2 linked regions of the Caenorhabditis elegans genome follow. The protein of the gene in region 2 interacts with the protein of the main gene of each other region in a biochemical or structural test. Each region holds a gene or a part of one and is shown on either strand. Other genes may lie near its edges. The genes, in order: ubc-1 and rbx-1.

Region 1 (3,926 bases), on a different chromosome or scaffold from region 2:
TTTCGCAAAAAATTTCGCCTATTTTCAGCCGAATTTCAGCCAAACGTTTAATTTTTCTCAAAATTTCAGTTTTGGCATAAAAATTCCAAAATTTTTTAATTTTAACTCAATTTTCATCGATTTTCAGCTAAATTTCCACATTTAGGGTAAAATTTTACGATTTTGAACCACAAAAAGCCAAATTTTGCATACATTAGATGAAAATTTAAGAATTTTCGTATTTCAACTTAAATGTTATCGATTTTCAGCCAAATTTCAATTTTTGGGGTGAAATTTCTCGATTTCGGGTCAAAAACTGCCAAATTTTCAATATTTGAGCTCTAATTTCGCCGATTTTCATCCAAAATTCAGGGTTGTGTACCTGCTCAACAATCTGCTGAACACGTTTCTCATATTCCCGTCGATTTTCTTGATAAAGCTGTGCGGCAAGTGAGTTGGCCGGTGAATTTGGATTGGGCTCGTCGAGCAACGACTGAATCGATGTCAGAATTGCGGCAACATCATACGTCGGAGACCATCGATTCTGTAGAATATCCAGACAAATTGATCCGTCCGCATACACATTTGGATGGAACATTTTGGAAATAAATTTGACGGTTGGCGGTTTATTTGGATATTCTTCAGTAAATTCCAGTGATAATTTGAATGTTCCATCTTCAAACGGGGTTTCTTGTGGTCCAAAAATTATTGCTTCCCATGTGAGAATATTATCTTCTGTTGGTGCACCTGATACTCCTGCTGGTGGATCTTCCTGAAAGATTTGGTCGTTTTTTTGGGGATTTAGAGCGATTTTTTTTGGAAATTAAAAGAAACCTTTCTTTTGGAAAATTTTCAGTTTTTTAGGAATTTTGAGCGATTTTTTTTGGAAATTTTGAGCAATCTTTTAATGATTTTGAGCCGTTTTTTGGTAATTTTAAGTGATTTTTTTTTTGGTAATTTCGACGATTTTTTGGTAATTTTCGACGATTTTTCGGAAATTTTGGGCAATTTTTTTGTGTTTTTCGGCCGTTTTTTGGAAACTTTCGATGATTTTTTGGTAATTTTGAGCGATATTTTTGAAATTTTAGGCGATTTTTCGGAGAATTTCGACGAATTTTTGGAAAATTCGGCAATTTTTTTGGAGGCGATTTTTTGATAATTTTGGCGATTTTTTGGGAACTTTCGATGATTTTTTGGAAATTTTGAGCGATTTTTCAGTAATTTCGACGATTTTTTTTGGTAATTTTTTTTTTTTTTTTGGTAATTTTGAGCAATCTTTTGGATATTTTCGACGATTTTTCGGAAATTTTGGGCATTTTTTTTGTGCTTTTCGACCGTTTTTTGGAAACTTTCGATGATTTTTTGGTAATTTTAAGCGATATTTTTGAAATTTTAGGCGATTTTTCGGAGAATTTCGACGAATTTTTGGAAAATTCGGCAATTTTTTTGGAAAATTCTCGGCGATTTTTTTTTGGAAATTTTCGGCGATTTTTTGGACATTTTCGGCCGTTTTTATGGATATTTTCGGCGATTTTTTGGCAATTTTAATTTTAAAAATTTCACGAGAAATTTATCAAAAATCCCAAAAATATCTAATTTTTTCTGGAAAAAACCAATTTTTGTTGCAAATGTTCTCTAATGTTCAAAGAAAGCCAAATTTTCGGGCCAAAAATTTCAAAACTCACCTGAAGTTTCTTAAAATCTCTCATCAAACGTCTACGGCTGGGCGTCGTCATATTGATAACCTAACTCCTGCAAAAAATGTGAAAATTAGGTTAAAAATTCGAAAAAATGCAGAAAAATGCTAGAACAAGTATGAAAAAAGGTACGGCAACCTTTAAAAAATCAAAAAATTAAAGAAAATATTTTTTAACATTTATTGACAATAATGCAAAAGTTGAGCAATTTGTGTGAGTTGTTGAACTTCTGCCGACGATTCCAGCCAAGCTTCCTGCAAAAATCGAAAAATTAGGTAGAAAATTGGAATTTCCCAAAAAAATTCGTATTTTAGTGCAAATTTGGAATATAATTTCCGTAAAAATTGGAAACTTTCGAAAATGTTTCGTAAAAAATTCAGTTTATGTTAAATGAAAATGCTGGAAAATTGCCAAAAATGTCAAATTTTTCTTTGAAAATTTGAATTTTTTGGAATTTTTCATTGAAATTCGATTTTCTAACTGAAAATTAGAAAATTTTGGTTCAAATCGAACTTTTTTAGTGAAAAAAAAAATTTTAATGAATTTTTAATGAAATTTGATTTTTTTAGTGGAAATTTCTAAATTTTAATTTAAAAATTTCTAAAAAAAAATCAATTTTCCAAAAATTTAAAATTTTACAAAAAAACGTGAAATTCTCAGTAAAATTCAAATTTTCGGTGAATTTTTGATTTTTATCTTTTTTTTTTTTTTGGAATTTCAATTTTCTCACTGAAAATGTCAATTTTTTGGTAAATTTGAAAAATTTGAAGTTTTCGGTGAAAATTTTGAGTTTAAACTGGAATTTTAGGTTTTCCGGAAAATTCGAAATGATTAACTGAAAACTTTCAAAAAATCAAAATTTTGAGTAAAAAAGTCCAATTTTTCTGGAAAAATGCAAATTTTATAATATTTTTCAGAAAAATTCAAATTTAAAGCCGAAATTTTCCAATTTTTCAGTACAAAATATTCAACTTAGGCTCAATTTTTTTCACGATTTTAAGGTAAAAATTCTGATTTACTTAATTATCAGCTATAAAAAAATCAATTTCGACTAAAAAAATCCGTACTTTTTTACAAATTTGATCAATTCGATGTATTCTTTGTAGTAATTCCATTAATCTTTCCGAATTAATTTTCTTTTTTCTTTCCATATTTTCAACCATTTCTCGCATTTCTGGACTAATATCATCGTCGAACATCACATCTCCGGAAACTCTGAAAAATTTTGAAATTGATAGATTTCTTAGAGAGAAGTTTTTGGGAATTTTTATGGATTTTATAGAAAATTTGAGATTTTTGAAAAATCCCTAAAAATTAATTTAAATATTTCAGAAAAAAAAACTATTTTCTTAATTTTTTGGAAAACTCATTACTTCTTAAATAATTTACAGATTTTGTTTTAATTTTTGATATTTTTCTGAAACTTTTTGGCATTAAAAATTTCTTTAAAGTGATTTTTTTTTCAGATTTTTGTGTAAATTCATTTTTCAAAAATTTTAGACATTTTTTCCGGATTTTTTTCTTTTTAATTAATTTTTCTGAACTTTTCCGAAGTTTTTTTTTCGGAATTTTAATTTTCAGAATTTTAACCTCAAAAAATCCACATTTTTCCTGAAAATTCAAATTTTCAAAAAAAAAAAAAAACTAACAATTCAACTTCTTCACCAACACGTTGACCATCTGGAAGCTTCTGCCTATCCGGTTGCTCAATCTGCAAATTTTTACAGTTTTTTGATGGAAAAGCTTCGAAAATTGGCTTTTCTGAGCAGAATTTGGATAATTTTTTCGATTTTTGATGTAAAATTGAAATTTCGCGGTTTTTTTTATGGAAAAACACAAATTTTCTCAATTTGAAGACATTTTTTCATGGAAAATCTTGAAAATTGCAGAATTTGGGTCAATTTTTCAGTGTTTTTTCTACTTATCCTTCGAAATTTCGCAAATTTTCCAGATTTCCTCCACTCACAAACGTCGGATGCGGAGCATTTCTGTAGGAATACGATATTACTGCCAAATCTCGATTATGAAGTTGCTCAGCGACTTCTGGCGGGCATAGTGGCAAAATTTTGAGCAAATAAATTTTCCGCACAAATCCAAACGACTGGCTGTACTTTTGGCCATTGTAACGGCGGCAGATTATCTGGAAAATATTGATTTTTGGAATTTTCAGTTGAAAATTCGGATTCAGTATAGTTTAAATAGTTTACGAGTTAATTTTCAGCTCAAAATCTCGAATATTCGTGAAATTTG
Region 2 (3,663 bases):
TCTAAATATGTATGAACAATTTTGTGCAATTTGGCATTCGGAGGAACTACTGTATCTGAAATCGTGGCAGGACCCAGCCAAGAGAAGTAGTGTGCGCCTTTAAAGTGATACTTCACTTTTCATGAAGTTAAGAATATCCGCAATTTAGCAACGTCGATTATTGAACAATAAACGTTTGTAGACAGTTTTAAAAGCAGAAAATTATCTTGGTCTATATTAATGAGAGAACTCTACAAAAATCAGTATCCAAAATTTAAAAAAAACTTTGGCACAGAAACGAACAAGCAATCGTAATAATCAATTATTACGGAAAGGAATACGAAGAAGCGGCGAGAAATGTGCTGCAATTCGGTTTTGAACGTTTTAGCCGAATTGCAAATAAATTACGCGAGACGAGACCTCCTCCTTTTGCTCCGGCGGCTTGAACGGTGCCCGCAACCTGAACCTAAACAGCCTAAGCACATAAACGGCACGAGAATTGTCTCGTTGAGAATTATGAGACCAGAGGACACAGTTCATATTTATATTTTTAGCGGAGAAAAATTAAATATTCAAGCGAGGAAGGATGATTTTAGAAGGTCAGAAGGGATTGGAGATTTGAATAAACAAATGAAAAGTGTCAGATCACATAGAGACTAACACGTCTGGATTTTAATGTGCTTTTTTTTGGGACGAATACATATTCACAAAAGGAAATAGAAGAAAAATCAGTGAATACAAGTAAAAAAGTGTGAAGAAACTGCCCGGGCGGTTGGCAGAAGAATGAAGATCGATTAGTGTCCGTACTTTTGGAATTCCCACTCACGATTGTCCAATGGGCATACCTGAAAAGATAGAATTAGAAAATGTGTAAGCTTTTTGAAATGCTAGTTACGAGTACTTAGTAATTGAAAAAAATTAAATTTTCAAAAGTTGTTTAACAAAAATGCATGCGGCAGGCTTCTGTTCCGCTTTGACATTTGAATAAATATCATTTTTTCAAAAATAAGCACGTTTAAAAGCAACCTACCTGTCGTGTCTTCAGCCAACGAGAAATGCAATGGAAGTGGAAAGCGTGATTACAGTTTCCCCATGCAACGGTACACTCATCCTTGAGCCCGGCTGCTTGATTCGCTTGGCACTCGATGCACAGATCCATGATGTGATTGCGGCAAATAGCGCAGTTGTCGACCTGAATGTCCCAGGCCCAAAGTGCGACGGCACTCCATTTCTTGACCTTAAATTGCACTATGTTTGTTAAAGCATGTAACATTGTATCTGTGTTACCTCGAAACGCTTCTTAACTGTCTGATTTGTGGCCTCCTCGACCTCCATAGCTGTGCTGTCGCTTGCTTGGGCCATTTCTGGAAAAAATACAAATGAGAATAACAGTAATCATTTCAAAATAAGAGCGCAAAAGTAGCATTGATGATATAATGAAATACTTAATATTGAACATGTTTATGCATACTATAATACTATAAGCCTAAACTAAATAGAGGATATGATTGATAAAATTGTTGTATCAGATTTTATGAAAAATTGTACCCTAGAACAAGTGATTCACGAACCTAATACAACATTGTTGTACAAAGCCGCCGATAGAAAATGAGGAAACATGAAGGACTTGACATTATTGCTAATATGTATTGAAAAAGGAGATACGCTGTTGTAAAATAAATAAAATGAAATCAGACTGAGCAACACTGCCGAAATTCTTTCGAAAGAATCATCAAAAACGCTTGTCTGCACACACCAGACGCTACGCGCATTTGCGTACACCGTACTCACCTATTTTCTGTCTTCACGCTTTCGCTTTCTTTTTAAAATTTACTCGTCGCGTCTTATTTCTTGCCGAAACGAACAAAGAAGAACAGGTTAAAAAGAAAAATTGTATTTAACAAAAATAAACCGTATCAGTTAGTATTTTAACAGTAATTCTAACAATTGGGACGATGAGAAAACAACTTTTAAATCGTTTCAAGATATTTATTCTGGCAAATCCGTGTATCCAATTCTCTTTTTCTTTCGCTCCGGAAAACATTTTTCAGTAATTTCTTTCAGCTTGTTTCCTAGATTTTTTCGATAGTCAATAACCATGTCGCAGTCGATGGTTCCGTCGGGTCTCTCGTGATGGCTTTTTATGTGCTTGATCACATCAGATTTTGCAATTGTCTGCCATTTTCTGTGACAGATTCCGCACTCGTAGAGCTCATATTTTCCGTGACGCGTATTTGCATGATACACCATGCTTGATCTTTGTTTGGAAACAACGTCTCCACAAAGAGAACATTGAATTTGTTGCTTCGGCTTGATCGGACCACCGCCATCAGATGCTCCCTCGAATGAAGGACCGGCTCCACGTTCTTCTTCGTGACGTGCCAGAGTTTCGTCTGAATTAAATCCAAATGAGTGGGAATCATTATTATGTGTAAGTTTACCTAGAAAGGCATGATAAGCATTATCTACGAAGACAACAGGAGAAGATGACTGAATAGGTGTGCCAGTTGCTTCTGAGTTTTCGACTTTGACTCTGTTCTCCACTGTGCTTGACACCGCATCGCTGATTTTCCCTTCAATCCGCATAGATCGACTCATTGCAATGCACCGTTCGAGCTTTTGGGTCAGTTCCTTCTTTTTCATACTCAACTCCGGTGTGTAGCGATATTTTATCTGCAATTTAAATTATTGTTGAATTTTTTTTCTGCGTCTCTCAACATTGGAGACTTACAGAAAATTCGGTGAGTCCATGATCATTCATACAGTGACTGACAAGGGCGAATTCCGTTGGAAACTTAGCGTACTTACATTTTTCGCATCTAAAATAGTAAAGCTACGTTCACCACATATTAAAAGTTAAAGACTTACTCATATGGGCATATGTTAAGATGATCACTAGCAATGTGTGCTTCGAGATCTTCCAGTGTGTTGTAGGCCTCAGTTTGAACGCAATCTAGACATCCCAGTAGTCGGTTCATTTTTTGAATGTAATAAATATATTCTGCAAATTTAGTAATATAGATTTAGAAGCGAACGGTTAACAAAATGTGTTCGAAATCAACTGAAGACGCGTGGAAAAAGGAAAAGAATGGTGAGAAGAAGAAGGAAGGAAAATGGAGAGAAGGGGGTGGTTTTGTGTGTGTGAGGAGGAGAAGAAGGCCGGGCGGGCAATGGCCAGTCTCTTCCTCCTTTCTCCTTCCTTTCTTCTCCTCTTTCTTCTTTTTTCTTCTTCTCATCGCTCGGTTCGCGCTACATTGAAACGGAGAGAGAAAGGGAAAGAGAGAGGACAAAAATGCGACGACTCGTCTTCTTCCTATCTCTTTCTCTCTGCTGTGTGTGTGTGTGTGTTTTTGTGGCGATAGGAAAAAAAGAAAAAGGAGCGGGATGGGCGGAAGAAAAGTGGGAAAAACTGTTGGAAAAATGAAAACGTGAGAGAACAGATATGAGTCAGATTTTTGTGAAAAATAATTAATTTTGAGATAAAAAGTTGATGGTACAAATACCATGACCATGCATGGCAGTCTCTTTTTTGTTGAAATTTTTGTTTAGAAAACTTATTTAAAACCAATTCTTAAGGAATATGCATTTTTTTTAAACACGAAATTCGCTTTAAACAGAGTACTTCCATTGGAAAATGTAAGGGAAATAAACGATAAAGCAGCCGAAGCTACCATAAACTTTTTT

The links.
Region 1: of the proteins of rbx-1 (region 2) and ubc-1, one has a biochemical effect on the other in vitro, tested with the Caenorhabditis elegans proteins (one study listed by BioGRID).

What each region holds. Positions count from the first base shown.
Region 1 is NC_003282.8:4,100,825-4,104,750, reverse strand, and holds the start of ubc-1 (Ubiquitin-conjugating enzyme E2 1), read right to left. Parts: upstream 1,732-3,926; 5' UTR 1,716-1,731; coding exon 1,665-1,715; intron 752-1,664; coding exon 362-751; intron 1-361. Other genes in the region: C35B1.2 (SWIM-type domain-containing protein), read right to left, coding at 1,856-1,930, 2,744-2,891, 3,326-3,387, 3,643-3,816. UniProt on the Caenorhabditis elegans protein: Catalyzes the covalent attachment of ubiquitin to other proteins.
Region 2 is NC_003283.11:9,689,180-9,692,842, forward strand, and holds rbx-1 (RING-box protein 1), read right to left. Parts: upstream 1,344-3,663; 5' UTR 1,342-1,343; coding exon 1,267-1,341; intron 1,217-1,266; coding exon 1,010-1,216; intron 825-1,009; coding exon 774-824; 3' UTR 507-773; downstream 1-506. Other genes in the region: ztf-9 (C2H2-type domain-containing protein), read right to left, coding at 1,969-2,372, 2,421-2,652, 2,711-2,798, 2,848-2,957. UniProt on the Caenorhabditis elegans protein: Component of the SCF (SKP1-CUL1-F-box protein) E3 ubiquitin ligase complex, which mediates the ubiquitination and subsequent proteasomal degradation of target proteins.